7 linked regions of the Daphnia pulex genome follow. The protein of the gene in region 6 purifies or fractionates together with the protein of the main gene of each other region. This does not show direct contact. Links are inferred from orthologs where the notes say so. Each region holds a gene or a part of one and is shown on either strand. Other genes may lie near its edges.

Region 1 (4,624 bases), about 4.8 Mb from region 6:
CAAGATTCTAGGTGCTCCTTGGAATTCCTCAGCGAAGTTCCCAAACCAGACTCCCATTTGAGAATTGCATCAGGATATGGATGTGCCACACTTTTATGGAAGCTGAGAAATGAGCCAGAAGAGCTTTCGCTTTACAGCTGTGCAGGGACCATCCAAGACTTTCTTGTCTCCATGCTTTGTGACCTCGACTGCCCTGTCATGTCCATTCAAAATGCTGCCAGTTGGGGTTACTTCAACACTCAAGACAAGACGTGGAATCTAGACATCTTGAAAACTGTCGACTTCCCCATCCATCTTCTCCCGAAAGTAATGGATAGCGGATCCGTGGCGGGTACCTTGTCGAAAACCTGGTGCGGCATCCCGCGTGGAACGCAAGTGCTTACCGCCTTGGGGGACATGCAGTGCTCCGTGTTATCCACCCTTGCTAACGAGATTGCATGCACGGCCGTGTTAAACATCTCGACATCTGCTCAACTTTCTTTTCGCATGCCGGCCGACTTCACTCTGCCGGACACGCAATCATCTATCGAATATTTCCCGTATTTTGACAACCGCTATCTGGCCGTCGCTGCTTCGTTGAACGGGGGCAACGTCATGGCTTCTTTCGTTCGGATGCTGCAGTCCTGGATGCAGGATTTGGGCTTCGGGGTTCCGCAGAGCTTGATTTGGGATAAAATGCTGACCCTGGTGAAGCAATCAAATTCAACTGAACAAGCCATGACCATCATTCCGACCCTTTTTGGCGAACGTCATCTATCCAGGTTGCCCGCCGCCGAAGTATCCAACATAAATTCGGGAAATATTAGTCTCGGCAATGTGGCGAAAGCATTATTTGAGGGACTCATCACCAACTTGCACAAGTAATAAATTATCTTCTTTATTGCTAGTTTTCTTGACGGTTTGATTTTTATGTTTTCACCAAACAGCATGATGTCCACCACTCTGCTGGAACAGTACGGAGTTACCCAGTTGGTTGGAACCGGATCTGCCCTTAGTCGAAACCAACCTCTTCAACAGCAAGTTGCCGTTCAATATAAAAACATTCCATTTAAAACCGTGCAAGAAGGAGATGCATCTTACGGAGCAGCTCTGGCCGCTTTAAATACTCCACGAACGCCCACGGATTGATAAAACTAAATCAATATTTTCTATAGTCGTTTACCAGCATACGTACTTGCCATTATTTGCCAAACAAATTATCAACATTTTATTATTAGAATATTGCAACGCAAATAAGCTTGCCTTTTAAGTCATTTTAGAGACGCAACTTTACAACTTTTGTCAGTTCACCACTGGATTTTCCACATCTATTAATCTATAATTCTATAGTATTGTTTTTTAAATTTTATTTCAAATTATTTTAATGTTTTTGTGCTTTGTACAATTCTTTTCTCTTAAAATAAATGATCCACTCTTGCCTAAACAAGTAGTTTTTGTCTTATAATTTTAATTTTTAAAAAACTTAAATTAGCTTAAATTTTTTAAGCGACGCATTAGGTTGGCGGAGAGAAGAGGCTTCCATATTGGCGGGTGATCTAACAAAAGGGATGGGAAGTCATGTTATTATTTTCTCATTTCAAATTGTCGGGGATTAAACACGTTTCTTTGAATCGTTTAGAGTTTACTAGATGTTGTAAAACAACTGCCGTATCAGCAGAGTCTTGTAAAATGGTCCAGGTAACATGTCGCAAGAATTGGTATCATCCTTGTACGAATGATGTTACTATTTCCTCATGGGTATTGAACGAAACGTTCGTCTCAAATTCGATGTTTATCTGTAGGTGCTTAATGTAGCAGAGAAAAACGATGCTGCCAAAAATATTGCTGAACTTCTTTCTCGCGGTAATACTTCACACAGTCACAATGCTTAAGCTGCCAAATGTAATAGGATTATATGTTCTTCATTACATTAGGTCGTGCAAATCGTAGAGAAGGCCGAAGCAAATTCAACAAAATCTATGAGTTTGAACATAATCTTTTCAACCAAAATGTCAAAATGGCAGTTACTTCAGTAACTGGTCATCTTCTATCTTCTGACTTTGTTGGAAATTATAAAAAGTGGCATGGGGTTAATCCTGTTACTTTGTTTGAAGCTCCAATTCATAAATTTGTTGCCGATGACTATCAAGACATCAAAAGAACTTTGGAGGAAGAAACCAAAAAGAGCAAATACCTGATCATTTGGACCGATTGTGATAGAGAAGGTGAAAATATTGGCTATGAAGTAATCACAGTATGTCAGGCAATCAAGCCTAGCATTCAAGTGTTCAGAGCAAAGTTCTCTGAAATAACATACCAAGTAAAAGGCTAACTATCTTAATGAAATTTACAATCTAATTCCATTTGTCTAATTTTATTTTATAGTCAATTGCTCGAGCACTTCAAAATTTGGGCCCCCCTAACAAAAATGTCAGTGATGCAGTGGATCTTAGAATTGAGTTGGATCTTAGAATTGGTGCTGCATTTACAAGATTTCAAACTCTACGACTTCAAAAAGTCTTCCCAGGCTCACTTGGTAAGTGGATTTGTTGGCTGTATCAAGTCTACGACAAATAAATTCAACATTTCAATAATAATGTTTAAAATTTGTAGGCCAATCTATGATCAGTTATGGTTCGTGTCAGTTCCCAACTCTAGGCTTTATTGTCGAGCGATATAAAGCCATACAGGATTTTGTGAGAGAGAATTTTTGGAAACTCAAAGTTGTCTGGGAGCTCAATGAGGAAGAGCGCGTTGAATTCCTTTGGAAAAGACACCATTTGTTTGATCAAACAGTGGTTCAAATACTCCTTGAAAAGTATTTGTTATTATTATCAACTAGCATTATCAACTAAAATTCAAGTGTTATTAGTTTTGATTAAATTTATATTACTATGATATTGATAAAAGATGCCAGGAGAACCCTGAAGCTGAAATAATCAAAGTTCAAACAAAGAATAAAAGCAAATGGAGACCTTTGCCTTTAGACACTGTTGTATGTGAAATTTTTTTGTCTGGTCTATTTTTCCGCATATAATTTTACATCACGATTTATGTCATAGGAACTTGAAAAGCTAGCATCCAGGAAACTGCGAATCAATGCCAAGGAAACGATGAAGATTGCCGAGAAATTGTACACTCAAGGATTCATCAGTTACCCACGTACCGAAACAAATATCTTTCCCAAAGAATTGGACCTGACTCCTTTGGTCCAGTGTCAGGTATATCATGACAAACTTAACTATTCGTGTTCTTGAATTATAATCATATTGGTTACGCTAAAATATTTTGCATTAGACGGTTGATCCTGCTTGGGGAGGATTCGCTCAACGCGTTTTGGACGAAGGGCTGAACCCTCGCCAGGGGAAGAAAAGTGATCAGGCCCATCCTCCCATTCATCCAACAAAATATGCAGGAAATTTAAATAATGAGAATGAACGCAAACTTTACGAGTTTATCGTTCGCCATTTTTTAGCTTGCGTCAGTAAGGATGCCCAGGTATGTTGAGGAATTTATTTTATTTCCACGTTCCGCTAAGTTTATGGTTCTTACAGGGTTACGAAACGGTGGCCGAAATCGAAATTCAAGAAGAAGGCTTCGTCGCCAGTGGATTGCAAATAGTAGCAAGAAACTATTTGGAAGTATATCCGTACGAGCGCTGGAGTGATCGTAGTCTTCCCCAACTCAATGAAGGCCAGCGCTTCATCGTATAAAACTTAAACATTTCCAGGATATTCCGGTCAAATACTAATTGTTGTTTGCCTTTTATAGCCGACATCGATAACCATGGATGAGGGAGAAACTAGTCCACCTCAACTATTAAGTGAAGCTGATTTGATTTCATTGATGGAAAAACATGGAATTGGTACTGACGCCACACATGCTGACCATATTGAGACGGTCAAATCGCGGCAGTACGCTGGCGTACAAGGCGACGGACGCTTCTTACCTTGTTCATTGGGTATGGGACTCGTACAGGGTTATGACGCCATGGGGATCGCGCTTTCAAAGCCAAATCTCAGAGCTGAACTCGAGGCTGATCTTAAAAGGTTGGAAAAATTAAATTAAAACCTAACCCCGTCCTAGTATTAATTGCACATTTAATCTTGCAGAGTTTGCGATGGAGAAAGGAATCCGAATGATGTCTTGAGAGAGCAGATTGAAAGATACAGAAGGGTGTTTGTACAAGCAATGGAACAGGTAAACTTGTTTTCACGAATGGTTGCCATTTCAAATCAAGTTAAAATAATTACAATAACCACAATAGGTCATCAAAATCGACGAGGCTCTTTCGACATTCTTTAATGAGGAACGACAGGAAGCACCACCGATGATTCCTGAGGGAGGACCAGATGCAAATTTGCCTTACCGAAAGTGCCCTGCTTGTAACTTGGACATGACTCTGCGACGGAAAAAGGACAACAGTTTCTTTTTCTCTTGTATGGGCTTTCCTGAATGTAAAACCGCCGTCTGGCTGCCAGCTGCTGTACAGCAAGTGGAAGTTGATGCGGAAAAGTGTAACGCGGTCTGTATTTCGTCTTTTATTTAACAACTATCGTGCTTCTCTGTTTTTTACAAGTCAATCTCTTCTCCAGTGTCCTTTTCATCCACCCCTATTGCGGTTCCAATTCACCCCGGGAGTTTA
Region 2 (4,142 bases), about 1.1 Mb from region 6:
GTCCACAAGCCGGCTCCCGAGATAGAAGCCTCCATCACCACTCGACCTCCAATGGAATATCAAGTGTGGCTGGTTGATTACATCCCACTCGATTACAGTCTCATACGAGTGCAGGCCAATTGGGCTCATTTAGATCCACGCCAGCAAAAGGGAAGTGCTTTTGTACGTGATTTTACAAGCACCGACCCTCCTGCAATACCACTCGGCCCGGCTAGTCCTGATCCTGTTCCCGTTGCAGCTCCCATCCGGCATTATGAGCCAGAACCATCAACTTACAGCCCCCTACGAGCGGCTCCAAATGATCCGCGGGCTCGGGATCCACGCCGTGTAGCTGCCCCACAGTCACATCAGACGTCGATGCTCCCAGATAAGCGAGGCATTTCCGGAGGTGTTGGACTACTAGGAGCTGCTCCACCGGGTATGCTTCCTTTACTACCGAAAGGAAGTTCTCTAGATATTTTGCCGCAAGAAACGTCTTACGCTAACTTCCGGAACGTCAACCCATCTTACGGCGATCGGAATGCTAGTGATGAATTGAATCAGCCATCACGACAGGTCGAAAACCGTCGGGATCCGCGCCAACGGGATCCACGCCAACAAAAGAACTCGCCAGCTATTGCCGACTCGTCGGAGAGATCGTACACCCCTCCTCCGAATGAGCGAGTCTTCCGTTAAGCTCTTATGATTTATATGTGGGACGCTCCAATCGAACTTGTGTATTTTGTTGAGTGAATTAGTTGAAAGGGTCTTGACATTTGCTTAAGAATATTTGGCTGAACCATTTCTATACTTGGATTGTTCGGAACTGTACAGCGATATAATGTTCTACGCTTGATTGGATCACAATTCCACCGTGTCTCATTTGTTTGATATACACATAATCATTATCCGATCAACGATTATGGCATTGTTTTTTCAGTCCTCTGATGAAAAGCCATTATTTCATTTCATACTCGTTTTATCCGCTAAATTACCAGGATTTTTCTCGATTTAATATGTTCATTTTTGATGTTGATAACATGTATTGGATCCTGTAGACTTAGATAAGCAATCTGTACAATCCGTGAGAAGGTAACCATACACTTTTATTACTACCTACTACTTTTATTACTGCACCAAATTGCGTTTCTATCTTGCTTTCATTGATTTTGGATTACGTATGATTCTTGGGACTCCCAAGACGGACGTCCAAGGTTTTGGTTGTTTGAATCGCGCTCTTTGCTTCTTACTGTCACGTTGCCAGGTTTCTAGAAAGAAAATGTGTGATCGAAGAAAGAAAAAATTGTTTGGCAACAGACATTTCCCGCCAAATTATTGGTTTGTTGAAAGTTGAAATGTCTGGCCAGGGGAATGTGAAAAACCAAAATATCGTAAAATTTTGGTGTATTTACCAATGGATCTAAATAATAACGAAAAATATATTTTTCCTTAAAAAAATTGTTTTACGACTATTTAAAAAATACATATTACTTCATTTATTTTTTTCGAGAGTAGTTAGCAACACTGCATGTGAAGCACTCTTCTGACAGAAAAATAGAAAAGAGCGGCTGAGAGTTCAGACACGATTTACAAGAGTTAGCAGCTAACATATACATAACCTTCAGTTAGTATATACTTGAAATCAGAATAGTGCTTTCAATATTTCAAATTCTAAAGCTAAATATAAGATAAGCCATTTTTGAGTTCTTAACTAGAAATTATAGTTGTCATAAAATGGAAGTTGATGGAGCATCAGATACAACATTGGTTGATTCCTCAAAAATTAGTGGAAGAAAGGATAATATGCCATGGTAATTGTTAGTTTTCACAGTAGTTAGACAAGTGAACAACAGTAGTCTATCTTTGGTAATTGAAAATGATTATCAGTATAGATACCTTGACTTTCATTTTTCATTACAGATATTTTCACGTTGAAATAGTTATTCACTTCATTCAAATTGTGTACATGTTTTATTCGTTACAATGTCTGTCTTATTGTGTTAAAGGGTTGAAAAATACCGCCCTACAACCTTTGGAGAAATTGTTGGAAACGAGGATGCTGTTGGAAGATTAGAGGTGTTTGCAAGAGAAGGAAATACTCCAAATATCATTATTGCTGTAAGTAAAGGTGTATTTAGTCATTTGAACTCTCAAGTCTACAAAATGTTTTATAAACTTTTTTTCAGGGTCCTCCTGGTGTAGGGAAAACCACTACAATCCTATGTTTAGCCCGCACTTTACTTGGTATTGACTTGTTTTATTTTTTGTCAGTGATATAACTCAGATTTAATTTTCATAATTATAACTGCTATAGGCCCAAACTACAAAGAGGCTGTCTTGGAACTGAATGCATCAAACGAAAGAGGAATTGATATTGTGAGAAACAAAATCAAAATGTTTGCACAGCAAAAAGTTACTTTGCCTAAAGGCAGACAAAAGATTGTCATTCTGGATGAAGCAGACAGGTACTAATCAAATATTGCTGTGATTAATTGTATTAACATTAAAATTTGGTTTTATTTCATTAAAGCATGACTGAAGGCGCTCAACAGGCTCTCCGACGTAAAGTGAAATTTTAGAATATTTTAGAATATTTACTTACTTTATGTTTTCGTTCAAACGACAGGCACAATGGAGTTGTTTAGTAAAACAACACGATTTGCCTTGGCCTGCAACACGAGCGAAAAAATTATTGAACCTATTCAGGTAGGCAATGACATCCATTTTTATATTTATTCTCTCATTATCATTTTTATTCTCATTCTTTAGAGTCGTTGCGCCATGATTAGATACGGGAAGCTAACTGATGCTCAAATTCTTCAAAAAATGATAGAAGTTTGTAAATTAGAAAAAGTCAGTCATACTGATGACGGATTGGAAGCCATTGTTTTTACTGCGCAAGGAGATTTGCGACAAGTGTGTTAAATATTACATAGTTAGAATCAGGTTTGTTAACAATTTTACTTTTAGGGTCTAAATAATCTGCAGTCAACTGTGCAAGGATTTGACCACGTAAACAGTGAAAATGTTTTCAAAGTAAGCTATTCATGATCAAGACATCTATACATATTCTTTTAATACTTTGTCATATTAACAGGTATGTGATGAACCTCATCCAATGCTCATTAAAGATATGATTGACCATTGCGTGAAGGGGAAAATTGATGAAGCGTATACGGTGTGTATATTACTAGTTACGATAAAAGGAATAATAATTTTGCAACTCGTTGTTTAATTTTTAAATGCAGATCATGTCTCATTTGTATGAACTGGGTTATGCGGCTGAAGATATCATATCAAGCGTGTTTCGAGTTTGCAGAAATCATACCATTCCAGAATACATCATGCTTGAATTTATTCAGGTAAGTTGTTCAATGTTTTCTTTTTTACAGCTTTGGTCGTGAATTGAAATGTTTTGGTTTGTGAATCTTTCCATCAAAGGAAATTGGTTTGACCCACATGAAAATTGCCCAAGGAATGGGTTCTTTGTTGCAGATGTCAGGCCTTCTTGCGCGGCTATGCAAAAAAGTTATTGCTCCTGAAAAGCTATCATATTGATTTCCTTCATTCTCTTAATTGTCAATAAATGCTTGCCGAAGACTGTAATCTTTTTAAACCTCCGTTTAAAGATGTGGAAGTTGCTTTAAAAATACGTAAGTTTGAAACATGCTTTATTAATAATGTTTATTTTGATTCTATTTTGCGTTCCACTTCAGTTTCAGAAACTCAAGAAGAAACGCAGGTTTTGATAACATTTTTATTGAAACCAGCCCTGAAGGATAATTTCAGAAAAAATCTCGGTTTGTTACATGGGGTTTTCAATCCATTTGTCTAAAAAACTAAGCTAATAAGTCGAGATTTGTGCAGATTTTACGTAAAAGCAGAACTGCTGTCAACCAAAAAGGAAAAATCTGTCATTTCAAAAATCTGTTATTTTCAAAATACTTCAAAAGAAACAAAATTATTTACTTTAATAAGTTCCGTATGTATGATTAGAATCTGAGTTGGAAATGAGCTGTTCGTTTTCGCCGATGATGACATCATCGGAAGCGGAAGTGACTCCAACTTGCACGACTTTGGGTAGACCATCTTCTGATAATGAGAGCTGCGCATTGGAAGTTGCGGCTTTTGATTTAGCAATGGATGTTAACATATTTAACAGC
Region 3 (4,336 bases), on a different chromosome or scaffold from region 6:
TCCTCGTACAGAGCAACAAAATCCTCTATTGCTTCTTGTTTGGTATCCATCTTAGTTAGCTTGGTATCTCCAATCGTTGTACCAACTCGACCCCAAGCACGGAATACATGCCACCTGTCGAATTAAAAAAAAAAAAAAAAAAAAATTATAGTTGTTATCTACAATTGCCACTGGGGGAAGCGAAGCCAATTTACTTGTTTCCTTTGTCGTGTTCAAGAATTTGAAGCTTGTAGTAAGAATTTCTTCCACCTTGAATGTCAACGATCCCAAGTACAACGCTGTACAGACCATTTTTCGTCTTCAGGACATGTGCTTTATCTTCCAAACCAGAATCGGGATCAACTACTCCTCCTCCTTTAAGTTTCAGCTTCAGTTTATCGGACATGCCTGAACCAGATTTTTCTGCAAACGAAAACACAATTTAGTTACGAGATTCAGCTTCGTTTTTAGCGTGAAATAAATCAACAAATATGTTAGTCGCGTATCTGTCTATGAGGGCAGACTTGGATCCCTTCATAGTCATCAGACGACTCAATTAATTTAGGATTGAGTTGTGACCTTGAACTTGATTTACTTGCAAGTTTAAAGCGTATGACTCCCCCATACTTATACTACAGTTTTTACTGGGAAACATTAAAAGTAATAAACAGTCCAACCAACCTGAGCCTTTCGATTTTCCAGAAGATTTCGTGGCACCCGACTCGTCCAAACCAAGACGCTTCTCGATCTAGATTTATTACAGTTTTTAAAAAATCTCAAAAATTAGGGCAATAAAAGAAAAAAAATTTACACTGTGGCAATCCCATGGTGCGATGTTTTTCTTCGTTATAATGGATGAGGCAGATTCGCCAGTGCTTGCTTTGATTGCATCCAAAAAGCTAAGGTCTACAACATGAATACCGAGTTCAGACGCTTTCTTCAACTTTGAATCCTTTTCTTTTAAATTGTCTGTAAAACAGTAATACCACATATAAAGGCTTAATCTCATAAGAGAAACTACCCACTCAAATTTCTAACCTTTCGTAGAAATTACGGCTGCAATTTTTTCGGTAACGCGCGAACCTACAGAACCTAGTAATTTTTTTATTTCAGCTTCGACTTTTTCTTTAGACTTTTCAAGCTTGGAATCAAGAATGAATTTCAAGCCTTCTAGTGTGGGTGGGCGTTTCGAATCGGATCTAAAAGAAAAAGAAAACATTAATAGACAGAACTAGCACGTTATCTAGTTGAGTAAATAGCTACTTTTCTTTTTTCACGTTCACTTCTTCGGTTGGATTCATACGAATAGTGCGAGTTAGCGCTGGGATTACCCTCTGTCCGGGAACATATTTGTACTTTTTCCTATAGAAGAATGAAGTTTAGAAAGTAACTTAATGTATGGCAACAACAGCCTTATTACAAAAATGAGTAATTTTCCGAGAGGTCCGATGGAACTTTGAATGGTTTCCTTTCGGGAGTTGTTGTCGAGTTGGGGCACTTCGTCCAGCCACTCATGTTTCCAGAGCATTGATAACCCATGCCACTCCTGTTGTAGAAGAAGAAGTAAATCTATATAGGTAAGGCTTACCGACTTGAAATTTCTATTATTTTAATCACTTGTAGAAAAACTGTCCACTTTTGCATTCATTGCATGGAAGCAAAGCTCCAAACGCCATTACATCGGCAAGAAGGTCCAACATCTAAAAAGATAAATAGCTGCATATAGTTTAACTATGCGACATATTGATTAACACTCAGAAGAAAATAAAAATATTAATAAAAAGTGCAAGTACTTCAGATGTTCCAGAAGGAATTTGCTGATCGTTGTATTCCAGCAGAATCTGGAGTTCTTGTTTTGTCAGAGTTTCCAACTGGTCTCTGTATTTAAACTGAATTTTATTTTGCTTCTTGATCTCTTCCTTGAGCTGTTCATTTTCTTTTTCTTCTTTCTTTATCTTCTTTGCATCCGAAGGTCCGTCGACAGCATCCCCGTCAACTTTTCGTTTGCTGAAAAAAGAAACCGTTATAATACATGATTTTCCAAATTTCGATTCTTGTCAATACTTAGCGGAAAGAGCAGGGAGTTCTTTTGAGAGAACTTTTTTGTCGTCGGCAGTTAGATCTTTAAATCCAGGGATTGTATCCACTCCGCTAACAAATTCTAATTCTTCTCGTCGCTCTTTAAAACATTTGACGTGGTACCACATATCCAACATTTGTCCATGTCTCATGCCTCCTTTGGTGTCGTATCCTTTCTTTGATATCCTCAATTCATCCTACAATTTGAACATTATAGACATGTTTGAACATGGATCGTTTTAGAACTTGCACTTAATGATTATAATACTTTTGCAATTTTTTCTAAGCAGCCTCGACATGCAGCTCTCCCAGATTTTGCATACTCAATTAGAAAATCAGAAAAGGGTTCAGCAACTTTAGCTGTTTTCCCCTTGCCTTTTCCTTTTTTACTTGGTTCAGCAATCCCACCTTCACTGATTTCTTTGGAAAAAGGAAATAGTTAGAAATCAACTAAATACAATGTATAGCAATATTAGTAATGTTTTACTTTTGAGCATCTGATTAATTTTCTCTTGATCTTCCCAGCGCAATTGATCAAAATGTTCAATGTCACCAGCTGATTTGGGCCGTTGCCTTTCAAAAAAGCAATCAAAGTGGTACCACGAAACCATTTTCCCATCAAATTTGGCAGCCTAAAACAACAATACTGTACTAGTGTACAAAGTCCAGAACCAAACAATAAAAAATAAAATGTTACCTGAAAGATTACAGCAAGTCGTAGAGTGCCTTGAGGAATGTTTTCTTTGCATTTCTTGCAACTAGCTCGACCCGTCTTTGCATATTCTGCTCGAAAAGGTAAATCATCCGCCATCGTTTTCTTCTGAAAATGAACGTCCCACGATTTCTGGGATTTCGGAAAAATCACAAAAAAAAACACAATTAGCATTAGCAGTTCATAATTTTAAATGAGATTGAAATGGGCCATACCTATATATTCCAATTTCCAGTGCACTCAGATAGTTTGAATTCTTGATTCTTTTAACACAATCTTTTCCACTACTTCGAGTACAACGTCCTCCAAACTTCGCAGTTCGCACTTCGCAGCCGACAGAGTTGGGCACGTTTTTAGGTAACAGTAGAATTTCGAGATGGCGCGCTAGGAACAAAACAGTGTTGTCAGATGGGGGCTCCTAAGTGGCGAAAATGGAGAAAAGTTTATTTAGAACTAAAAAGAATAAGTAATTAAATTTCAATTCCACAGTAACGTTTAAATTTTTATTGCTGTAATACATGTTTAACGACCCATTTCCTCTTTGAACAAAAACAATGTTTCTTTTTTTTTTTAAATAGCAAACCAGTTGGCGCCACAAGCTGTGGTCGACAGTCTGTCAGCTGTTTTGTTTCCGACAAATCAGTATCGGATTTTGCTGCAATTATGACACTTCGAAAGAGTTTCTTTCTTTCTTTTTTCGTCCTTTTCATCTTCTCATTCATCAGTGATGTATTGATTTTTATGTTTACTATTAAGAAAACATTGCTTAGAAATTTAATGATTTTGGTTTTGTTTGTTTTTGTCCTAATAGGTGAATGCACAGTATGAGGATGTCAGATGCAAGTGCATTTGTCCAGATACCGCCGTAGTAAACGGAACTCAGTCACATAGAAAACTTTACATTGAAAATGTTCCACCTAACAAATGTGATTGTACAAATGTTGTGCTCCCAAGGGTAGGGGATGATATCAAAGGAAAGGAAAAAGAATTTTGTCCACGATGTGAATGCAAGTACGAAAGCAGGAACACAACAACAATCAAGGCAAAAAAACTGTTGACATAATGTATTGTAGACTATTCTAATATAAATTTTTTTAAATTTCAGGTTGTTGTAATTATTGTTATCTGGATAATATCTCTACTAGTCATATACATGCTGTTTCTTGTTTGTCTTGATCCCCTTCTCAACAAGAAAACCACTACACAATATCAAGAACATAATAATGAAGAGGTATTCTATAAATTTCTCCCTTTTCTTCCTTCAATCATCTTTTTAACTAATTTATCCTACAGGATGAAAGTGAAACCCATTCTCAACCTTTAAGGGCAAGTGGAGCAGGTGTGCTCAACCGTGTTGGCCAAACTACTGATAAGTGGAAGAAAACTGTTCAAGAACAACGTCGACATATTTATGATCGACACACTATTCTTAACTAATCACTTTTCTAAATTCCAATTCTATGATCTGTAGATGTTTGCGCGTTTATTCTTATTCTTATTTCAAATATTTCATTCACCAACGGAAATAAAAAAATTAAAGTCTCATATCGTAGAGTTTAAGATTCT
Region 4 (3,171 bases), on a different chromosome or scaffold from region 6:
GCTTTTCGTCAAAGGCCCATTTGGAACGATTTCAAAGCCATCAACGCATCGTTGCTGCCTGCTGGATGCGTTTACTGTTGTGGTTTCCCTTCCTGTATCCGGTTTTTTTTATTGAAACATAACGTCAGAACGTCAGATCAGATATCGATATTATTTGCGACGGTTTCAATAAAACGTAGCGGCAAAAAAGGACAGGGCGGGGTATCGATAAATTTTGGGGGGATAAAGACGGAAAAGTGTTTTTGAAGCGATTTTGAAAGGGAAAATAGCGATCGGCAGCCAGCAGCCTAGTTGGAACTTGGAAGAGTAGGTCGATAACCAAAGAACTGAAAAAAGGAAAGAAGGTCTATAGGGTCCAAAGCTCGGCTGTATCTCTCATGTTTTATTTACATTTTTTCTTTGTTTCCCTATTTTCAATAAAATGGAAAATTCTATCAAGAAATATTTCTTATTTAGTTTTTACGGAATTACTACTCATTTAAAACAATTATTTCACTTTGACGTTAATCCCTATTTTGGCCTAGAGTGATTGTACTAACTATACAAGAATCGATTCCCCTCTTCGTGAGAAATTTCGTTGCTTACGTTTTTATAAGATTAGACGAATCTTGTTGCTCTAGGGATCTTGGTAAATTATTTAATAATTCACTTATGAAGAAACTGAACATTCAACAAAGTTTTCCACAAACTTCACATTTTTATTTCAAAGTACAATTGAGAAGAGAAAGTGGGATCAAACTGCTAAGGCAAATTTTCAAGAAACATGTCAATATCCAAAATTTCAGAGTTGTTTTCATTAGTTTCAGCTGTAGTTTCAGATATCACAGTATCCACTGTAGCATTTAACTCTGGCAATATTTTAGAGGTAAAGCTCTCATTTGAACAAGTATCATTTAAATTGGAAGTATTAAGCATCAATCTTGATTTCCGTTTTTCTTCAGCTTTTCTTTTGTTTTCAGCCATTCTACTCTGTTGATCTTCAGATATATGAGTCAGAGACTGCGAAGGTCGCGACATCACAGTACTAAACACATCTGTTCCTCTTTCAGTAATGTTGTCAAATTGTGCATCTGTGTTTTCCAAAGTTTCCTCGATTTCTTGTTCAGTATCTAACATTCCCATTCGAAATCGTTTCATATAGACCTATCATACATGTCATAACATCAATTAATGTAGGTTCAACCAAATACAGACAAATTAGATTAATAATACCTGCACAGATTTGTTATTCCCAAGTTTTGCAACACTTTCAATGCAATCATCAAATGGTAGTTTAGGAAACAATCGATGAGCCCAGTGTTCCATTTGAGAGAGAACCGTTTCAAGATCTGATTTCTCATGACCTTTCCCTTGCAATTTTACATTTTTAAAATTCTGTATGACAGCTGTGATTCCTCTTGGACCACATACTCTGTTATTCCAATAAAAATGTTGATTGTAATATAAAAAGTAATAAAATAAAGTGAATTAATAAAGGTGTAATACCTGTTTGGATCAAGCTTTAACTGCTGACTCCTTACTAATTTACGTGTTTTGGTTGTTTCTGACTTTTTGTCCCCTATAATGAAAATAATGTAGGCTTTAGATTGGAACTTATTTTTCATAAGACTAATTACACTTACGTTTTCCTTTATCAGCATCTACTTCCCCATTCTTTGAGTTTGAATCATTTTCTTCGGCACTGTATGAGGTTTTTTCGTATTCTCCAAATATATCATCAACTTCTTGATCACTCATGTTAAATTCAAATTGTTATTCGTTTGGGCCGGGAGTGGAGTGGAGTGGATAAAGTTTGGGGTTGAGAGAATGCGGGATGGATGTAGTAAACTGCGGGGTTGTGTGCGGTTTCTGATGAAATCGATTTATTATTAATCGATCCGATCGTGGCATGACGCAAACCCAAATTCTCGCGGGAAACGAAATAAACCATTTTGAAATTTCAATTCTTTTGAAACTTGATTCTTGAAAAAAAGACGCTTGATTTCTTAAAAATACAGCTATTTTGACAGCTATTCATTTAAAAATTCAAAATGCGTTTGAGTTTTAATTAAATGGACGAGATATGAAGCTTTTCGTCAAAGACCCATTTGTAACGAATTCAAAGCCATCTTCCTATCGTTGCTGGATGCGTTTACTGTTGTGGCCCCCCTTCCTATCCGCTTTGCTTTATTGAAACATAACGTCAGATCACTTATCGATATTATATTTGCGGCGGTTTCAATAAAACGTAGTGACAAAAAACTCTGTTCCAAAAAGATCCTCGCCGCCAACAGGGAGCTTCTCTGCTGCACGGGAAAGTAAGCCGATGTGGTTTGGGTGAGTCTGGGTGAGGATGTTGAGACGTCTGGAGTGGGTAATCTCACGGAAAAGATGGGCCCAGAGAAGTGACAGCGTCTTTAATGCTTTGGTGTCCTTGTCGCTTCTCTTACTTTTCCTCTCAAGGAGAAAAAGAAGAGGTTTGGCCATGTCCAGGACGACGTCCGTCTGTTTCCGGTACACTTTTTCCAGCTGATCAATGTTGGGCATCGATGCATTGGAATTCTTTGTAGATTTAAGGGCCGCGTAAAAAGTCTCGTCCAATTTTGGGTTCGTGAACAGCTCAGAGGCACTGATACTAGCCTTTTTGTCACGTTTGACGTCAGGCCTGTACGCCTCTCTAGCCGCCTTAAGGTTCTTCTCACCTATGCCCTTCACAATCCAATTGGCGAGGACCGACGACTTACGTTTGCTAACTTCAAACCTTTTCGACTTTAATTTAATAATGTCTGAAAAGGTGCTTGAAAAAGATTTAGATGATGATGCGGAACTCGAAGATGAGTCAGAGTCGGAACTTGAACTCGAACTCGACTTACGAGAACGCTTTGACTTACTATGCTTAGCCATGCTTGCTATGCTAGAGCAAAAAAAGATCTGAATAGTTTAAGCGCGTTTGGAACCTCATAGGCTTCACCCACACCCTCCTTTTTCTTTCTTTAGTATGGCACTGTTGCCATACTTCAAGTCAAGCTTGCTACAAATATGCTGAATATAAATGGTCACACACAGTTCTGTCGAACGAATTTTACTAAATAATCCTGTTCGTTACGCAAGTTTGGGTTTTGCCATTCCCTACAATTTGCTTATTAAATTTACATATGTGTATCGTGGGTTAGTTCAAATAACAAGCAAATG
Region 5 (4,389 bases), on a different chromosome or scaffold from region 6:
TCTTCCAAGAAATCAATAATGGAAGCCTGGGCCGGTTTGGCATTCTGAAATATTAAAAAATAAATAAATAAGGGATAGAAATAGAATGCAATGAAGGGGCTCGTCGGAATTTACGGAGAGATATCTAGTATCCGCTTCATGAAAGTTATCTTTACTGAGTCCAGCTTTGCTCAAAATATCCAGCTTGTTCTGCACAAGGGGCCAAAGATAATCGTCGGCAGTTTCTCTTGCTACTAGATATTGGACTACGACGCTATCCCGTTGACCAATACGATGAGCGCGATCTTCAGCTTGAGTTAAGACCTGTATGAAATCAATAACGGCTTACGTAAAATTCTGAATTCTTTCTAATATTTTTTTTAGCATACACCGGGATTCCAAAACAGTTCAGCAAAAACGACTAGATTGGCTGACGTCAAAGTTAATCCAGTGTTTGCAGCTGTGATCGATAGCACAGCGACCCGAACACTTTCCTTATTTTGAAAAACATCACATAACTTCTTCCGCTCGTCCGAAGAGACCGATCCATCAATCCGAATGTAACTTTAAAATAACGTTAATTAAAATTTATAAAATTCAATTATAAGGTCTATTACCCTGCTTTAGATTTTTCTTCAATGCACCGACTAATGTCATTTAACAAGCATTGATGATGAGCAAAACAGAGGAATTTCTTGCCATTCTCCAATAAGTCTGCAATATAGTCGCTGGAAAAGACAGATGGGAAAGACAGGAAAATAAGTATAATTTTGTTTAAATGTAGCTACATTTCTAAAAATTACCACACAGCTTTGCTTTTGGCTTTTGCCGTTTCGGAATAGTAAGATAGTAGAACACCCCGTTTTTCCATTGGTTTGGAATGTTCCTTTGTCATGTTTTTAGCCAACGTATCCATTGAGGGCGAATGACATTTGACAGCATTAGGATCAAGGACAACCATTTGCCTAAAATGAAAAATTGATAATTAATTACTCATCATTTTATCATTGTTGCTATTTATTACCTTTGTTTTGCTGGCAGCTGTGAAAGAACCTCACTTTTAAGACGTCTTATCAAATATTTCTCTTCAAGGATTAGTTGTAACTCGTTCATATTGGTTGCTCCACCATAATTCCATCCGAATTTTGTTTTTTTGGCTTCACAATAACGTAATCCGAAAGCATGGAAGTGTCTAACCATCATTATAGCAAATTGTGTTGACTACAGTTCAAACTCCTGAATTTGAATAAATGGCAAAGTTCCTTACCCAAACGGTTTCCTCTCTAAAATCTGTAGCTGGCTATACAGTTCCTCAGGGCGAGATAATGCCGGAGTCCCAGATAGAAGAATCACCCTCTTTGCTTCAGCACTTACAGAGTTTGCAGCGGTAGTTCGTTTTGATTTTCCGCCTATTATTAAAACTTGGTAGTTAAAAAAAAAAACTCTCAAACAAAAATTTAAAAAATAAAATGATAATACTTTTTACGAGGTGGCTTTCATCAAATATAATGGTTTTGAAGTTCATTGCTACTAGTTCGTCTAGTTTCTTTGTAAGCAAGTCGTATGAGCAAATTGTTACTGAAACTTCTTTGTCGATGTAATCCTTTCCTGAGCAAATAACCTTTTAAAAAGTAATGTTGATCTAATGAACATTTCATTTTTTTTTGTCTTTTCACATACTTGTATATGATGTAATGGGACACTTGGTAACCATACTTTAACTGCTTCATCCCAGGCAAATTTCATTGAAGATGGTGTTAAAATGAGCAAAGGCCAATCAGCAAGATAATAATGTGCAAGACCTAATGCCTGCAGAGTTTTCCCCAAGCCTAGAAAAGGAAGACATAAGGAAATTAAATACAATAAAAAGGAAGAAACTTAGCTAATGATTAATTTAAAAGAATACCCATGTCATCAGCAATTAGGATCCTTCCTTGCAAATGAATTCCATAGCAAATGCCCTGTTTTTGGAATGGAAGTAGAGACTCGTACAATTTTGGGTCTATGCTGCTTATATCAACTTCAGGTATCGTTTTTTCAAATGGGGCATTACTGTAAATTAAAAGGGAAATCCTGATTACACCTTTTATTTGAAAAGTATATGGATGCAATCTTTTTACCTAAAAATATCCAAAACAAACTTTGGCAATGGCTGAAATTGAAATCTTGTTAGCAATGGATCAAGGCTCTCCAGCAACTTTTGATGATCAGAAAGGGGAAAAGTCCATCTTCTAAGAACTCCATCATAACTTTTTGTGGGGAACTTTTTAAATATCTCTATCATTTCATTGTCAAATGGTGCATCAACACAAAATTTTCTTCTTGAGATCAACTGAAATGTTGCCGTAGGTCTTGAAGAACTGGCTGATGAACCGGAGTTAGCATTCTTTGGTGGAAATTTACTAGAAGAACCTGGAGAGTTCCAAGTGGATTTCCCCCCCGAATATTGAGGTCTTGAATAAAACGAAGAAGCACCTGAAGGACTTATTCCAACTGATGGGTTAATTGCAGGGGTAGGAGGTCTTAAAACAGCTGAACTCCCAGCAGAAAAATTGCTTCTATTGTTGTTTGTAACTACTTGATTCGTTTCGGTTTGTTTTGCAGCAGCACGTTTTTCAATAGCCTTACGACGGTTTTCTTCCATCAACTTTATTTGATCGGGCGTAAGAGGCATCTTTAGTTAGGTTTAATAAATATATCAAAGAAATAGAATTCTTATAAATGTGTTATTCTATAACCATCTAACTATGCAAATACACGTGCTAATCGGTCCACTAGAACTAAATCTCTAACATCAAAGGGAGTGAGGACTTTGAAAAAACACCTAATTACCATAACAGAACGTTGCCAGTTTCTTACGTCTCTTGTGCGCAATCTTTACAAACCAAGTCCAAGCGGCCAAAAACGCAACTTCTTTATGTCAACGTCAGCAACCATGGCTTCGTCTGCTGCCAATGTAAGTTAAAAACAATTTTTAATCAAATTCATTTATTTAAAAACAATTTAAAATGTATATTATTTGTCATGTAAGGCCGCGTTAATTGACGATGACACGCCTGGATTTGGAGAGGAAGAAAATCCGAAACAGTTCCGGTAAGTTTAATCCTATCTTGATGTTGACGTTTCAGGTTTCAGAAAAAATAATACTCATTAAATTTATTAATGACTCACTATCTTTTACTTAAATAGGCATCCTTATGTAGTTCTTTTCCACTTTGGCTTCAGAGCAGCTGCTCTCCTTGTTTACCTTTTCTGTGGCTGGTTCTCAGATGGATTTGTTACTAGTTTTGTTTTCACAGTTATCCTACTCTCTCTAGACTTCTGGACTGTAAAAAATATTACAGGTATTTCACCATATGAATGTATTATTGAATATTACTCAATTATGAACATCATTTGCAGGAAGGATCTTGGTAGGGCTCAGGTGGTGGAGTTACGTTGATGGTGAAGGCAAGAGTCACTGGGTCTATGAGGCACGAAAGGTATACCATGATGAAAAAATAATTTTTTACATTTTTTCAAATACATTTTTTCTGTTTTTTTTAGGAAGGTGATGTACGAAAAGTGCATGCTGCCGAATCTAGAGTATTTTGGATAGGTTTAATTGTTTTCCCTCTAGTATGGTCCATCCTCTTCATTCTTGCTATATTCAGATTCAGCTTTCGTTGGCTAGTTTTAGATTGTATTGCTCTTTCTCTGAATGGAGCTAATGTGTATGGGTATCTGCGATGTAAGTTAGGCAAAGGCACAAACCTAACTGGGGCCGTTTCGAATTACGCCAACGGATTCTTTCGTCAGCAAGTTATGGATAAGGTAAACCAAATTCTTGTCGTACATTGGATAAAACAAACTAAATTATCTTTCTCCTTTAGGCGGTTAACATGTTGACCCGACAAGCGCAAACTTCAAACGTCAATTCTGCAACCAACATTATTTAAACGAATCATGTATCGCACCCTATCGCAGCCACTAATATTCCAATTTTCAGTTAATTCATTTTAATATAAATCTTATTCCCCGGAGTTCAATACATTCTTTGTTCTTGTATAAACCTTGGTATTACAGCTTATTTTTAACGAAACATTAAGTAAAATCAGGCGTACAAACTTGCTTCTTTGTGTGTGTATTAAAAGTATGATAAAATAGTTATGTTTGGTAGATCTCGAATAAAGAAAGCCAATATAAAAAATTGCAATCACCCGAAGGTCCCCTGAGATTCTAATTATAGTCTGAACATTTTCTTAGTTTCCTTTTCTTGCATTATTTTGAGTTTCCTCTAATACGCGCAAAAAGTTGTTCCAGGCTTCGACTACTCGAGGCTGACTTAGATGAATAGGTAGTAGAGCTTGGACGTCAAAAGACTCATCATCCTCAGGTAACGGCTGGGTTCTATAATACCCAGCATCAAGG
Region 6 (4,597 bases):
TATAATCCGAAAATGAAGGTTTTTTATAAGTTTAATAGATAAGGAGCAAGGGAAAATCCATTCATTCTGATGCAGCCATTTCTTTCATTTCTCGAATCAATCGCTCGTTGTGCTCTTTATAGTTGATTTCCTTCACTTCATAGACATTTGTTTTGAGGCGGCTTTCATCCTAAAGAAAAGGTAAAAGCGTCAACAGATAACAAGATCGAAATTCATAATGCTCATAGACTTACATTGTACGTCTCCATTTTCACTCTCAGGCGGAAGACATACCACTTAAAAGTAGCTTCTTCGAAAATTTTCTGAAATTCGTTATTATCCGAATCCTTCAATCTACCGACCTCGTCTGCGGATTTCCCTAAAATTTATAATCAAATAAATAAATATTATATGCTAAACGTAACATTAGTTCGAAAACAAAATTACCAAGAAGAGTTTCAGCGGTTTCTTGGAAGCAGGTTACCCATTGCTGGTCCGTGGCATCCGCGATATTGACCTATAACAAATTTCGAGTGCTGTTTTGAGAGAAATAGATTTCATAAAATATCTTTGTCATACCGAAAGCATCATGCGCCATTTGAATTCCTGGAATTCGCGCTGGCATTTCTCACATCGATAGAGGCCATTGTTTTGATCGATGACCTGCGGGAAACGCAAATATTGTCAAAAATGAGTTGTTTTATTATATATTTATGTTTACCTTTTTGTTGCATTCATCACTGGGACAAGCCATGTACAACGCTCTTTCTTTGTTGATCATAGCAACCATAGCCTTAACACTGTAGAAATCAGGTTTATCTTTTCCCAGGTTTTCGAATTTTGCTTCAGCGAAAGTCTTATACGACCCACCACTACCACCAGTGCCAGCGCCACGACTCGCCGAAATGCTAGAAGCGGCCGATGATGAGCCACCGTTATCGTACCACCCTCTTAGTTTGTGAGCTTCATTCATGTCAGGATTGATCTATTAAAAATATGCGCTGTAGAATAGTAGAGAAATAGAAAGTCTTACATTTGATTTTACCTGCACGACAGTAGACGAGACTGTTCCTAGAGAACGACCTCCAAAATCAGAAAGTTTCACTCCTTTTAATGCTACAACAGGCTGGGAGCTAGCGTCAAATTCCTCGCCCATTTTTCCCCATAAAGTCAAATTAACCTGATGTTTGAAGACAAGAATGATTAATTAACTGGGCTCGACAATTAAACGAAGAATCCAGTCATACCTCTGTGTTGGTACTGTCCACCATCTGAACTTCTCGCATCCTCAATTCTTTATTTGTCGTTTTGGAAACGATAACGCGGACGTCATTTGCTGACTTAACCACACCAATGACATCTGAAAGCACGGTCAATCGGTCATATCGTAGGCACCATTCAAATAGAAGAATTGTAATGTTAATGCACCTAAAAGACAACTTACCAATAACACTGTCCTTGTCCAGGCTAGGTAGCTGATCAATGGGAACAAAGTTGAAGGAGATTGATGGGATATCTGATGTATCATCGTGGCAAGGAATTACCTAAAAAATAAGTAAAAGAAAAAAAAATTGAGGCTGGTACGATTGACGATTGAAAAACATTCATACTGTAGTATTTTGGTTGAACGACATTTCATAATCGTTCCTCATACTGCTGTACTGTTTGTTTGCTGCCTTCAGTTGTGCTTGTGAAATGTAAAAGATCTTGCCGATCTACAACGAAAAATAACAATGTAAATAAATAACTTCAAACACTGTTTTTGAATTAAATGTACCTCAATCATGTGGTAAAACTTGTCACACTCGGCATTGAATGCAGTGGCACGGATTTCACCAGTCTCATCCACCATGTCCATCGAGAAAAGCTTTCCTTCACCTCGAGAATTGCTCCACGTACGGATATCGGACTTGTTTATAATTCTCACTTTTACAGTCCACCTACAAACAAGCAAAGTTAATGATTCAATTTTTCTTGTACTGAAATTTCTCAACAAACATACTTGTTTTGGTAGGGTGTAAGGCTTACAATCGGATGGGTAATAATGTCAGACTTCTCTGTTGGCTGTCCATATCCACCAGTTTTGTTAGGTGGTGCAGACTTCGATCCCATATTGTAATTGTTCACATTTCCTAAAGGTGCAGGTTTTGCTGCTGCCTCTTCAGTAACCTCTCCAACATCATTAAGAGTCTGAGGGTTTCCTATTTTTTCTCCAACCTAAACAAAAAATGTTCAAAATGAAGAGATATCCTTATTTGTATTTCGAAACTAAGTAAAGTGAACATACTTCACTTCCAGGCACAATTGGCTCAACATCCAAAAGAATGATAATTTTCTTTTGGTCCTTGCCTGCAGTTGCCTTAGTAGCAACTTTGTTAACAACAAACTTTTTTACTCTAATGATGGTAAAGTTCTCAAGCTGACCATCCACAATCAGATGATTTAGTTGTGTTGCCAACATTCCATATGCATAGGAATACTTTCCATCAGAGATGAGAATTCTGTAACGGTCATTATTGTCTCCCTGAAGATTTTTGTAACCCTATTGTAAGAGAAGAAAATGTAAAAATGCTGCAAATGAAGAAAAAATCTTGCTCGTTGCTTACCAAAACTTGTAGAATTGGAGTTTCATTGTGCAGGCCATTCCCAATGATGGACTATGTCGAAATAAAGATATTTATAGTTTTATTCAAAAATTCGAAATTATGATTGATATTACCGGAATTGCGCCGCTGGTTAGTGCTGGGTGATTTCTTCTGTTCATTTTACGGAACCTTTTTTAACGGGGATTACTTCGTTCAGTCAACGTGCTTGAATTTTTTTAAGCAGTTTTTACGGACAAGACGACGAAGTGCGATGGCGGGAAAACAACAGTGGTACAAACGAAACCAAGGCTGAACGTGCAGCGTTGAATGTTTAAGAAACTTTTTAACTCAATGAAGACCACTAAAAATATAAAGAAGAAAAATAATGAAAAAGTTTTTTTTCTGAAATAAAGGTTCATACGAAGCAAAAATAAGTTTTCGTTTTATTCGCATTTTTGGCGTTGTTGGATTTTTTGTTTTTCGAAATGTCCGGTTGTTATAGCAACAGTTGCAGACGACAACGGAAACTATATCGTTATATGAAAATTTGTGACTGAATTATTTGATTTCCTTCAAAAACGAGTTAATTGCCAAAGAATCTCGAAAAATGATTTCGGAAAACTTTATTAAAGCTATTGACAAGATTAACAACAATGATACTAGTGGTTTGCAAGAACTTATAAAATCCCGGGACGTTGAAATTGACGATGAGGATGAGCATGGAATGACATTACTGCAACATGCCGCTTTTAAAGGGAAAAAAGATATTTGCCAGTTGCTCCTTGACCTGGTAAGTCTAACTATATTATCAATGTTGTTAATTTGATTGAAAAGTTGACTTTTTTTCTCGAAGGGAGCTGATGCCAATGGAGGTCATCATGAACACAAGTATACTTCCCTTCATTTTGCAGCTCTGTCTGGAAATTTGGATATTTGTCAACAATTACTTCAGTGTGGTTGTAAACCTGATGTGGTTAACTCAGTAGGCAGAACTGCAGCTCAAATGGCTGCATTTGTAGGTAGGCTAGTCAATCATAATGTTTGTACAAATCATCCAAAACTAAAATGAATTATTTTGGCAAACCAGGGAATCACACAGTTGTTTCCATCATCAACAATTTCATTCCACGCTCAGAAATAGAGCAGTACACTGTAGCTCCTAGCGATCAAACTGAGCCAAAATTGCCACCAGCTGCTGCACCAGCTTTGCACAAATTTGTGATGCAGGTTGTGCACTTGAATAGACACATCACTTCATTTCTTATTCTGCCACGGAAAAGCACTTGAACTTTTTGTTTTGTTTGATTTATCAGGTCAATCTGCATCCAGTTCACCTTTTGTTGACTATTCAAAAACTTCCTTTGCTTTACGATAACCTCACAAAAGTGAAAAACGTCTTGGAGATACTTAGCGAAAATCAGATGAAGCGCAGCCAAGAAGTCAACGAGATCCTCGCACTTAAATACCACTATTTGCGTTTCCTAGTCGAAAGAATGGCCAAAGAGCAGCAGCAGCACCCCGACAAAACCGTTTTGGAGTTATTAAATCAATATGTTAAAGCATTTTTGAAGCAACGTCAATCCGATGGTTTTCCCGAGTTTATGGACAACTTCATCCGCGAGTCGATCCGCACTTTCCCTTTCAAGGAGACGACCATCTTCCGCCAGTTGCTGGTCAATCTGTCCAAGACAAAAGAGGAGACTCCACTAGCTCTCAATCTTCTCACTTCCTGCATCAACGGTCAGCGTGGATTTCAAGATGACGACGCCTGTGCCACTTGCGGCCAAGAGAAGGTAGCCAGCAAGTGTTCCATATGCAAATCTGTGCAATATTGCAACCGCGATTGTCAAAAGTTGCACTGGTCTATCCACAAAAAGGAGTGCGACAAGTTGGCCAAGCAATTTAAAAATTTGGAAATTAAATCTCAAGACTCCGAGGCGAAGGCTGCCGATCCGGAAACCAGCAAATAGAAATTTTGATTATGTGGGGGTTTTTGCATGATCGAATTCGATGTATGTTCACCCCGTACGTTT
Region 7 (4,384 bases), on a different chromosome or scaffold from region 6:
CATGTTTGAAAGTTTACTTAATGATAGATTTACAGGAATAAATCAACATGTGACCTCGCATCTCCTCCAGGATATCTTCCATCGATTGCAACTACAGTAGCCGAATCAGCTAAGGAAAATGATTCTAGTTTGCTTATTAAGAGATCTTGGGATGTTGCTTTACAACCACTAAAACAGGTTAAAAACCATTTGTTCTGTTGTGTATTTTTCTTGCTAGAATTTATGAAAAAAGATAATAATTGTAAGGGAAAAAATTGTAATTTGAAAGAATTATTCTGTTCGAATATTTGATAAAGTTCAGTCTTGTGCCTTTTAAAGGTTAATAAGTCTATAGAATGTAAATTTGTCTGTTTCTGAAATAGGTACCTATGAATTTGTTCATGATGTACATGGTGGGAAGTTCCATTTCCATATTTCCAATTATGATGGTTGGCATGATGTTTGTGAGGCCCATTCGTGCGTTGTTCAGCATGAACCAAAGTATATTTTCACAACTATTATTCAAACAAGTCATACCTTTTAAATACAGTATAATTTTTTTTTCAGCTTTCAAGATGTTGGAGGGAACCCAGGCAATTGGACAAATCCTAGTCTACATCTTGGGCCAGTTGGTTGCACTGGGGCTTGCTCTTTACAAGTGCCAATCCATGGGCCTCCTTCCTACTCATTCATCAGATTGGTTGGCTTTTATTGATCCTCAACAGAGAATTGAATATTCTGGAGGTGGACAAATTCTGCTCTAAGATTAATTATTTAATTCATTAAAATATTCACATTTGTAAGTGAAATGAAAAATACAGTACACCAAATCATCTTTAAATCATAAATTGTACAAGTTGCTACAGCCAGCTGTAAAAATGACACGTAATTTATTCAAAACATTCATATTTTTATAGCGAAACTAAAAATTAGCTAGTCACATTCTATTAGTAAAATATTTATGTTTCATTTTTCGGGCGGTTAAGACCATAGAAGAGACCAGCAAGGTTTACCTGTGAATATCCACTCTCTAAAAGAATCTGATTGATATTATTTAAGAGAGCCTTATAAGCTTTATCCATGGAGTTATTGTACGCCAATTTGACTTTATCTTAAAAAAAAAAGAAGAAAAGTGAATGAAAGATAGAACAATATGTAGTGAAAATAAAAATACCTCGTTCGCTTGGTTGAAGCTGACTGATGGCTTTGGATGCGTCAAACATGTGTTGGTAGTAACACAGTTGAGTGTATAGATCCAAATCATTGTACTGTGATCATCAACGAGTATTAATGTCTCTAAAACTCAAAAGCAAAATAAAGCAACGAAAAAATAATACCTCAGGATCCATGTTGCTGGTTCCACATCCTATGCAAACGGGATGTGTATTTGTGGACTTCAACGGTATGCGCCTGGTTCTTGTAGCGCAACTTCTGTCTTCACATACTAACCAGCCCTATTTATTTATTTTATTTCATTAACAAAGTAGTTAACATAAAATTTCTAACACAATATATCCGAGTTATTTACCGCATAATAAAGTTGAATGTGCTTTCTAACGGTATGCGTCAAACGGTTGACGAGAAATTTTTCCGCACTAAATGGTGTCTTCTTGCAATTGGGATTTCCACACCGAGACAACGCAAACTCGATGTTGCCGTCGTCCTATGTAACATCGACCAATAATAAAGCTTGATAAATTTAATCATTTCAAGCAGGTAACATATCCTACATACCGTTTTGCGGAAAACGTTGTCCATCGACATTTCAAAACCACAAGCCTTGTCAGAGCATTGGTAATAAAACCTAGACGTTGAAATTCATTTGTCAAAGATCCATTTTCCTGATTAAATTTTATGAGTCTTACTTTTCACATGATTGAAATCTTTCTTCGTCAGTCACCGGAGGACTACCAGTTTCGTATTCGTTGCTGGCTGCTTGTGTCGATCGATATCCAGAAGCATCGATGCCTGCACAAATACCATTTATTAACTCTCGCGGTCTCACCATACAAAATTTTAAATAATTACAATGACAACTTACCAAGGAATTCAGCAATTCTAACAGCGTCAATTCCTTCTAGAAGGTCGCACAATCGAGAAACAACTGGATGAACTTGTTGTGCCAAATAATATTGAATGTCAGGCTTTAAATGCCCATTTGTTGGCATCTTGAGTTCCTCCATGGAATACGCTCGTTGAGTGGCGGCCATATTGCTTCCGTCCTATTTCACAAGTTTGTTCATATGTTTATAAACTTTGTTTTTATTGCATTGGCAATTCAATCGAGTCATTAAATACCTGACAAATGATGAACGAAACTGTATCGCCTTGTACAAGTTTCTTACCACCCCGGGAATTTGTCCTGATTGCAACTTGGACATGAGAAAGATTTTTTGCGTCGGGGTAATTTTCTGGATTCTTAGTTAGCTGTTTGGTAATCTCTAACAAAGAGAGATCAATGGTTCCGTTCTGAAATCCATCACGAATATCTTCTAAATTTTGTTGAATCCGAGCGATTCGTTCATCTGCCGATAAATCACCTAATATTTGTTCCAGTGCGTACCTGGACCAAACCAAATTGTAATAAATAAATATAGATGCTGTCGCTAGCCCAAAGAATCAATACTGAAGATATTTACTTTCCAGCCCGAGTAGCAAGCTGCGACCAGTCTCTTCGTACAATATCCAGACCCTTGACCTCTTGTTGAGTAACCATTTCTTTTTTGTTATCACGGATCACCTGAGAAACTGTAACGGCTGCGTATTTCTTTTTCTTCAGCAAAAGTAAGCGCTGGAATACCCCATCAATGTCGAGCTCAAGGTGTTTGTACAACTTATTGACTTCCTGTTTAATCTGAACAAAACAACAAACAATTGAATAAAATAACATTTAGGAATAAATTCTGCTGATAATGGTTACCTTAAGACCCACTTTCATGACTTGATCATAGTCAACTGAATTAGAATCTATCATTAACGAATCAGTGTCTCCGTAGATGACGTCCAAATTCATTTTACGGACAAGATCCCTAGTCTGCAGTAGAATCTCACGTCCTTTGGCTACAGAAAAATGCAATGGAAATTAAAATGCATAACGTTAAAGCTGAAATGTAACTTACATGTAATAAGCGCGGCCAAAGGTTTGGCGTAAAAACGTGAATTGGAAAATCCCAGGCAGCCGTACATGCTGTTTGCCGTCAATTTCAATGCTTTCTGTCTGATATCATACTGAAGTAAAAGATCCTTAGATAACTTATCGTTGATGAGCTTTTTCACTTCACGTCGACTGTCAACCAACTTTCGAATTTCAGTAGGCAAAATGCCAAGGGGCAACGTCGGATCAGGTAGGTCGGGAAGAATTTCTTCTTGTCCTTCAGTTGCTTTAGTTGCTACTTGTCGATCGACAGTGGTAAAGCATATATTGAATTCTTGAATAATGCTCGGGTACAGCGAGTTGAAGTCCATTAAAAGAACAAACTTGTCGTAGAAACCTCGCTTGGGATCCAGAACCAAACCACCAGCATAGGCTGGTTTCCGACGACCTTTCTTGCTACGATTAGCATTTTCAGTCGAAACATCCTCAGGATCAGAATCTTCTCCTTTCTTTGATTTTTTAAAAGCCTGCTTATCTGGAACGATAAACCCCTTCTCGTGAAATGCATGGAGCAATAGATACTCGTTGCGTTCTGAACGACCTCCCAGAAGAGTTCGAGAAAGCAAGTTTCCTAAAATATTAGAAAAATTTGCATAATTCTTTTCATTAAAATCGATTCCTTCGAATTACCTGCAATCGAAGTAATTTGCAAAGCTAAGGGAAGGACGTTTAATTCATACATCAATCTTAGTGTGTTCGCGCCATCTTGCATAGTAATGGCTATCATTCCCAACAGACTGGTTGAAGTCGAGTACATCTTTTTAACAGAATCTGAACTCAAATCTGGGCGAACTCCGTTTAAATGTAAAACCTTATTGAACAAGACAATGCATTAATTGAGATGTATAAGGTGTGGTTCAATTATCAAACCTGTTGACACAGCGTTTCGAGGTCGTAGCTCCTTGCGCGTATAAGTTCTTTTGCCGAAATCTTCACATCACACACCAAACGCCCACTCATGACAAGATGACTGCGACTGACACCCTTTAAATTTTTTTATTATTATTATTCTTACTTGAGTGTTAATCTAATGTCTAAGCAAACCTTAGACATAGGCATATTGGTGCGACGTAGTCGGCCCAGACGAGACCACTGATCTACTTTGTTCTGGGTGAAACGATGGAGAAGTATGTCCAAGTCGTAGGAAGCTACATCGTGCCCGACAATTACATCGGGGTCGATTTTGTTAATTTTGGCCAGAAAAAGATTAAGCAGGGCTCGTTCGTTCTCGGCTAGTTCTATTTTCGTTAG

Evidence for each region.
Region 1: the proteins of replication protein A 70 kDa DNA-binding subunit-like (region 6) and DNA topoisomerase 3-alpha-like purify together in Homo sapiens (affinity purification with mass spectrometry; 4 studies listed by BioGRID and IntAct, with this or other methods). This does not show direct contact. The link is inferred for Daphnia pulex from reciprocal best matches to the Homo sapiens genes RPA1 and TOP3A.
Region 2: the proteins of replication protein A 70 kDa DNA-binding subunit-like (region 6) and replication factor C subunit 2-like purify together in Homo sapiens (affinity purification with mass spectrometry, with the first as the bait; 3 studies listed by BioGRID). This does not show direct contact. The link is inferred for Daphnia pulex from reciprocal best matches to the Homo sapiens genes RPA1 and RFC2.
Region 3: the proteins of replication protein A 70 kDa DNA-binding subunit-like (region 6) and poly [ADP-ribose] polymerase 1-like purify together in Homo sapiens (affinity purification with mass spectrometry; 3 studies listed by BioGRID, with this or other methods). This does not show direct contact. The link is inferred for Daphnia pulex from reciprocal best matches to the Homo sapiens genes RPA1 and PARP1.
Region 4: the proteins of replication protein A 70 kDa DNA-binding subunit-like (region 6) and TIMELESS-interacting protein-like purify together in Homo sapiens (affinity purification with western blotting; 4 studies listed by BioGRID and IntAct, with this or other methods). This does not show direct contact. The link is inferred for Daphnia pulex from reciprocal best matches to the Homo sapiens genes RPA1 and TIPIN.
Region 5: the proteins of replication protein A 70 kDa DNA-binding subunit-like (region 6) and SWI/SNF-related matrix-associated actin-dependent regulator of chromatin subfamily A-like protein 1 purify together in Homo sapiens (affinity purification with mass spectrometry; 8 studies listed by BioGRID and IntAct, with this or other methods). This does not show direct contact. The link is inferred for Daphnia pulex from reciprocal best matches to the Homo sapiens genes RPA1 and SMARCAL1.
Region 7: the proteins of replication protein A 70 kDa DNA-binding subunit-like (region 6) and DNA polymerase alpha catalytic subunit-like purify together in Homo sapiens (affinity purification with mass spectrometry; 3 studies listed by BioGRID and IntAct, with this or other methods). This does not show direct contact. The link is inferred for Daphnia pulex from reciprocal best matches to the Homo sapiens genes RPA1 and POLA1.

Annotation. Positions count from the first base shown.
Region 1 is NC_060017.1:7,798,334-7,802,957, reverse strand, and holds the start of DNA topoisomerase 3-alpha-like, read left to right. Parts: upstream 1-1,516; 5' UTR 1,517-1,557; coding exon 1,558-1,677; intron 1,678-1,781; coding exon 1,782-1,842; intron 1,843-1,913; coding exon 1,914-2,299; intron 2,300-2,364; coding exon 2,365-2,515; intron 2,516-2,592; coding exon 2,593-2,797; intron 2,798-2,889; coding exon 2,890-2,974; intron 2,975-3,041; coding exon 3,042-3,200; intron 3,201-3,276; coding exon 3,277-3,477; intron 3,478-3,533; coding exon 3,534-3,686; intron 3,687-3,750; coding exon 3,751-4,028; intron 4,029-4,091; coding exon 4,092-4,179; intron 4,180-4,246; coding exon 4,247-4,504; intron 4,505-4,574; coding exon 4,575-4,624. Other genes in the region: sedoheptulokinase-like, read left to right, coding at 1-860, 927-1,128. UniProt on the Homo sapiens protein: Releases the supercoiling and torsional tension of DNA introduced during the DNA replication and transcription by transiently cleaving and rejoining one strand of the DNA duplex.
Region 2 is NC_060017.1:4,125,936-4,130,077, forward strand, and holds replication factor C subunit 2-like, read left to right. Parts: upstream 1-1,495; 5' UTR 1,496-1,713; coding exon 1,714-1,790; intron 1,791-1,985; coding exon 1,986-2,097; intron 2,098-2,165; coding exon 2,166-2,223; intron 2,224-2,293; coding exon 2,294-2,444; intron 2,445-2,509; coding exon 2,510-2,541; intron 2,542-2,605; coding exon 2,606-2,685; intron 2,686-2,748; coding exon 2,749-2,895; intron 2,896-2,949; coding exon 2,950-3,015; intron 3,016-3,076; coding exon 3,077-3,157; intron 3,158-3,227; coding exon 3,228-3,341; intron 3,342-3,420; coding exon 3,421-3,537; 3' UTR 3,538-3,579; downstream 3,580-4,142. Other genes in the region: zinc finger CCCH domain-containing protein 4-like, read left to right, coding at 1-675; MFS-type transporter SLC18B1-like, read right to left, coding at 3,950-4,142.
Region 3 is NC_060024.1:8,493,068-8,497,403, reverse strand, and holds the start of poly [ADP-ribose] polymerase 1-like, read right to left. Parts: upstream 3,144-4,336; 5' UTR 2,986-3,143; intron 2,903-2,985; 5' UTR 2,870-2,902; coding exon 2,756-2,869; intron 2,691-2,755; coding exon 2,546-2,690; intron 2,479-2,545; coding exon 2,327-2,478; intron 2,256-2,326; coding exon 2,044-2,255; intron 1,987-2,043; coding exon 1,773-1,986; intron 1,680-1,772; coding exon 1,597-1,679; intron 1,526-1,596; coding exon 1,400-1,525; intron 1,342-1,399; coding exon 1,243-1,341; intron 1,179-1,242; coding exon 1,018-1,178; intron 949-1,017; coding exon 791-948; intron 728-790; coding exon 661-727; intron 403-660; coding exon 195-402; intron 115-194; coding exon 1-114. Other genes in the region: uncharacterized protein CG1161-like, read left to right, coding at 3,434-3,499, 3,582-3,812, 3,876-4,001, 4,064-4,207. UniProt on the Homo sapiens protein: Poly-ADP-ribosyltransferase that mediates poly-ADP-ribosylation of proteins and plays a key role in DNA repair.
Region 4 is NC_060019.1:12,256,422-12,259,592, forward strand, and holds TIMELESS-interacting protein-like, read right to left. Parts: upstream 1,823-3,171; 5' UTR 1,738-1,822; coding exon 1,623-1,737; intron 1,559-1,622; coding exon 1,486-1,558; intron 1,412-1,485; coding exon 1,213-1,411; intron 1,144-1,212; coding exon 742-1,143; 3' UTR 678-741; downstream 1-677.
Region 5 is NC_060018.1:6,032,643-6,037,031, reverse strand, and holds the start of SWI/SNF-related matrix-associated actin-dependent regulator of chromatin subfamily A-like protein 1, read right to left. Parts: upstream 2,851-4,389; 5' UTR 2,654-2,850; coding exon 2,100-2,653; intron 2,032-2,099; coding exon 1,886-2,031; intron 1,809-1,885; coding exon 1,660-1,808; intron 1,601-1,659; coding exon 1,459-1,600; intron 1,389-1,458; coding exon 1,247-1,388; intron 1,172-1,246; coding exon 1,004-1,171; intron 945-1,003; coding exon 783-944; intron 708-782; coding exon 597-707; intron 544-596; coding exon 369-543; intron 304-368; coding exon 115-303; intron 45-114; coding exon 1-44. Other genes in the region: uncharacterized Golgi apparatus membrane protein-like protein CG5021, read left to right, coding at 2,897-2,935, 3,011-3,072, 3,169-3,323, 3,382-3,461, 3,526-3,792, 3,852-3,917; uncharacterized protein LOC124188637, read right to left, coding at 4,221-4,389. UniProt on the Homo sapiens protein: ATP-dependent annealing helicase that binds selectively to fork DNA relative to ssDNA or dsDNA and catalyzes the rewinding of the stably unwound DNA. Rewinds single-stranded DNA bubbles that are stably bound by replication protein A (RPA).
Region 6 is NC_060017.1:3,019,539-3,024,135, forward strand, and holds the start of replication protein A 70 kDa DNA-binding subunit-like, read right to left. Parts: upstream 2,868-4,597; 5' UTR 2,744-2,867; coding exon 2,699-2,743; intron 2,637-2,698; coding exon 2,586-2,636; intron 2,522-2,585; coding exon 2,267-2,521; intron 2,197-2,266; coding exon 1,982-2,196; intron 1,920-1,981; coding exon 1,757-1,919; intron 1,695-1,756; coding exon 1,590-1,694; intron 1,524-1,589; coding exon 1,424-1,523; intron 1,340-1,423; coding exon 1,227-1,339; intron 1,160-1,226; coding exon 1,025-1,159; intron 965-1,024; coding exon 701-964; intron 643-700; coding exon 559-642; intron 497-558; coding exon 427-496; intron 359-426; coding exon 234-358; intron 170-233; coding exon 62-169; 3' UTR 1-61. Other genes in the region: ankyrin repeat and MYND domain-containing protein 2-like, read left to right, coding at 3,172-3,354, 3,418-3,583, 3,652-3,791, 3,878-4,534. UniProt on the Homo sapiens protein: As part of the heterotrimeric replication protein A complex (RPA/RP-A), binds and stabilizes single-stranded DNA intermediates that form during DNA replication or upon DNA stress.
Region 7 is NC_060022.1:1,991,884-1,996,267, reverse strand, and holds the end of DNA polymerase alpha catalytic subunit-like, read right to left. Parts: coding exon 4,178-4,384; intron 4,118-4,177; coding exon 4,004-4,117; intron 3,945-4,003; coding exon 3,764-3,944; intron 3,705-3,763; coding exon 3,099-3,704; intron 3,040-3,098; coding exon 2,900-3,039; intron 2,834-2,899; coding exon 2,619-2,833; intron 2,543-2,618; coding exon 2,278-2,542; intron 2,202-2,277; coding exon 2,021-2,201; intron 1,948-2,020; coding exon 1,845-1,947; intron 1,784-1,844; coding exon 1,714-1,783; intron 1,643-1,713; coding exon 1,508-1,642; intron 1,434-1,507; coding exon 1,317-1,433; intron 1,248-1,316; coding exon 1,154-1,247; intron 1,091-1,153; coding exon 939-1,090; 3' UTR 851-938; downstream 1-850. Other genes in the region: ER membrane protein complex subunit 4-like, read left to right, coding at 36-177, 363-480, 547-743. UniProt on the Homo sapiens protein: Catalytic subunit of the DNA polymerase alpha complex (also known as the alpha DNA polymerase-primase complex) which plays an essential role in the initiation of DNA synthesis.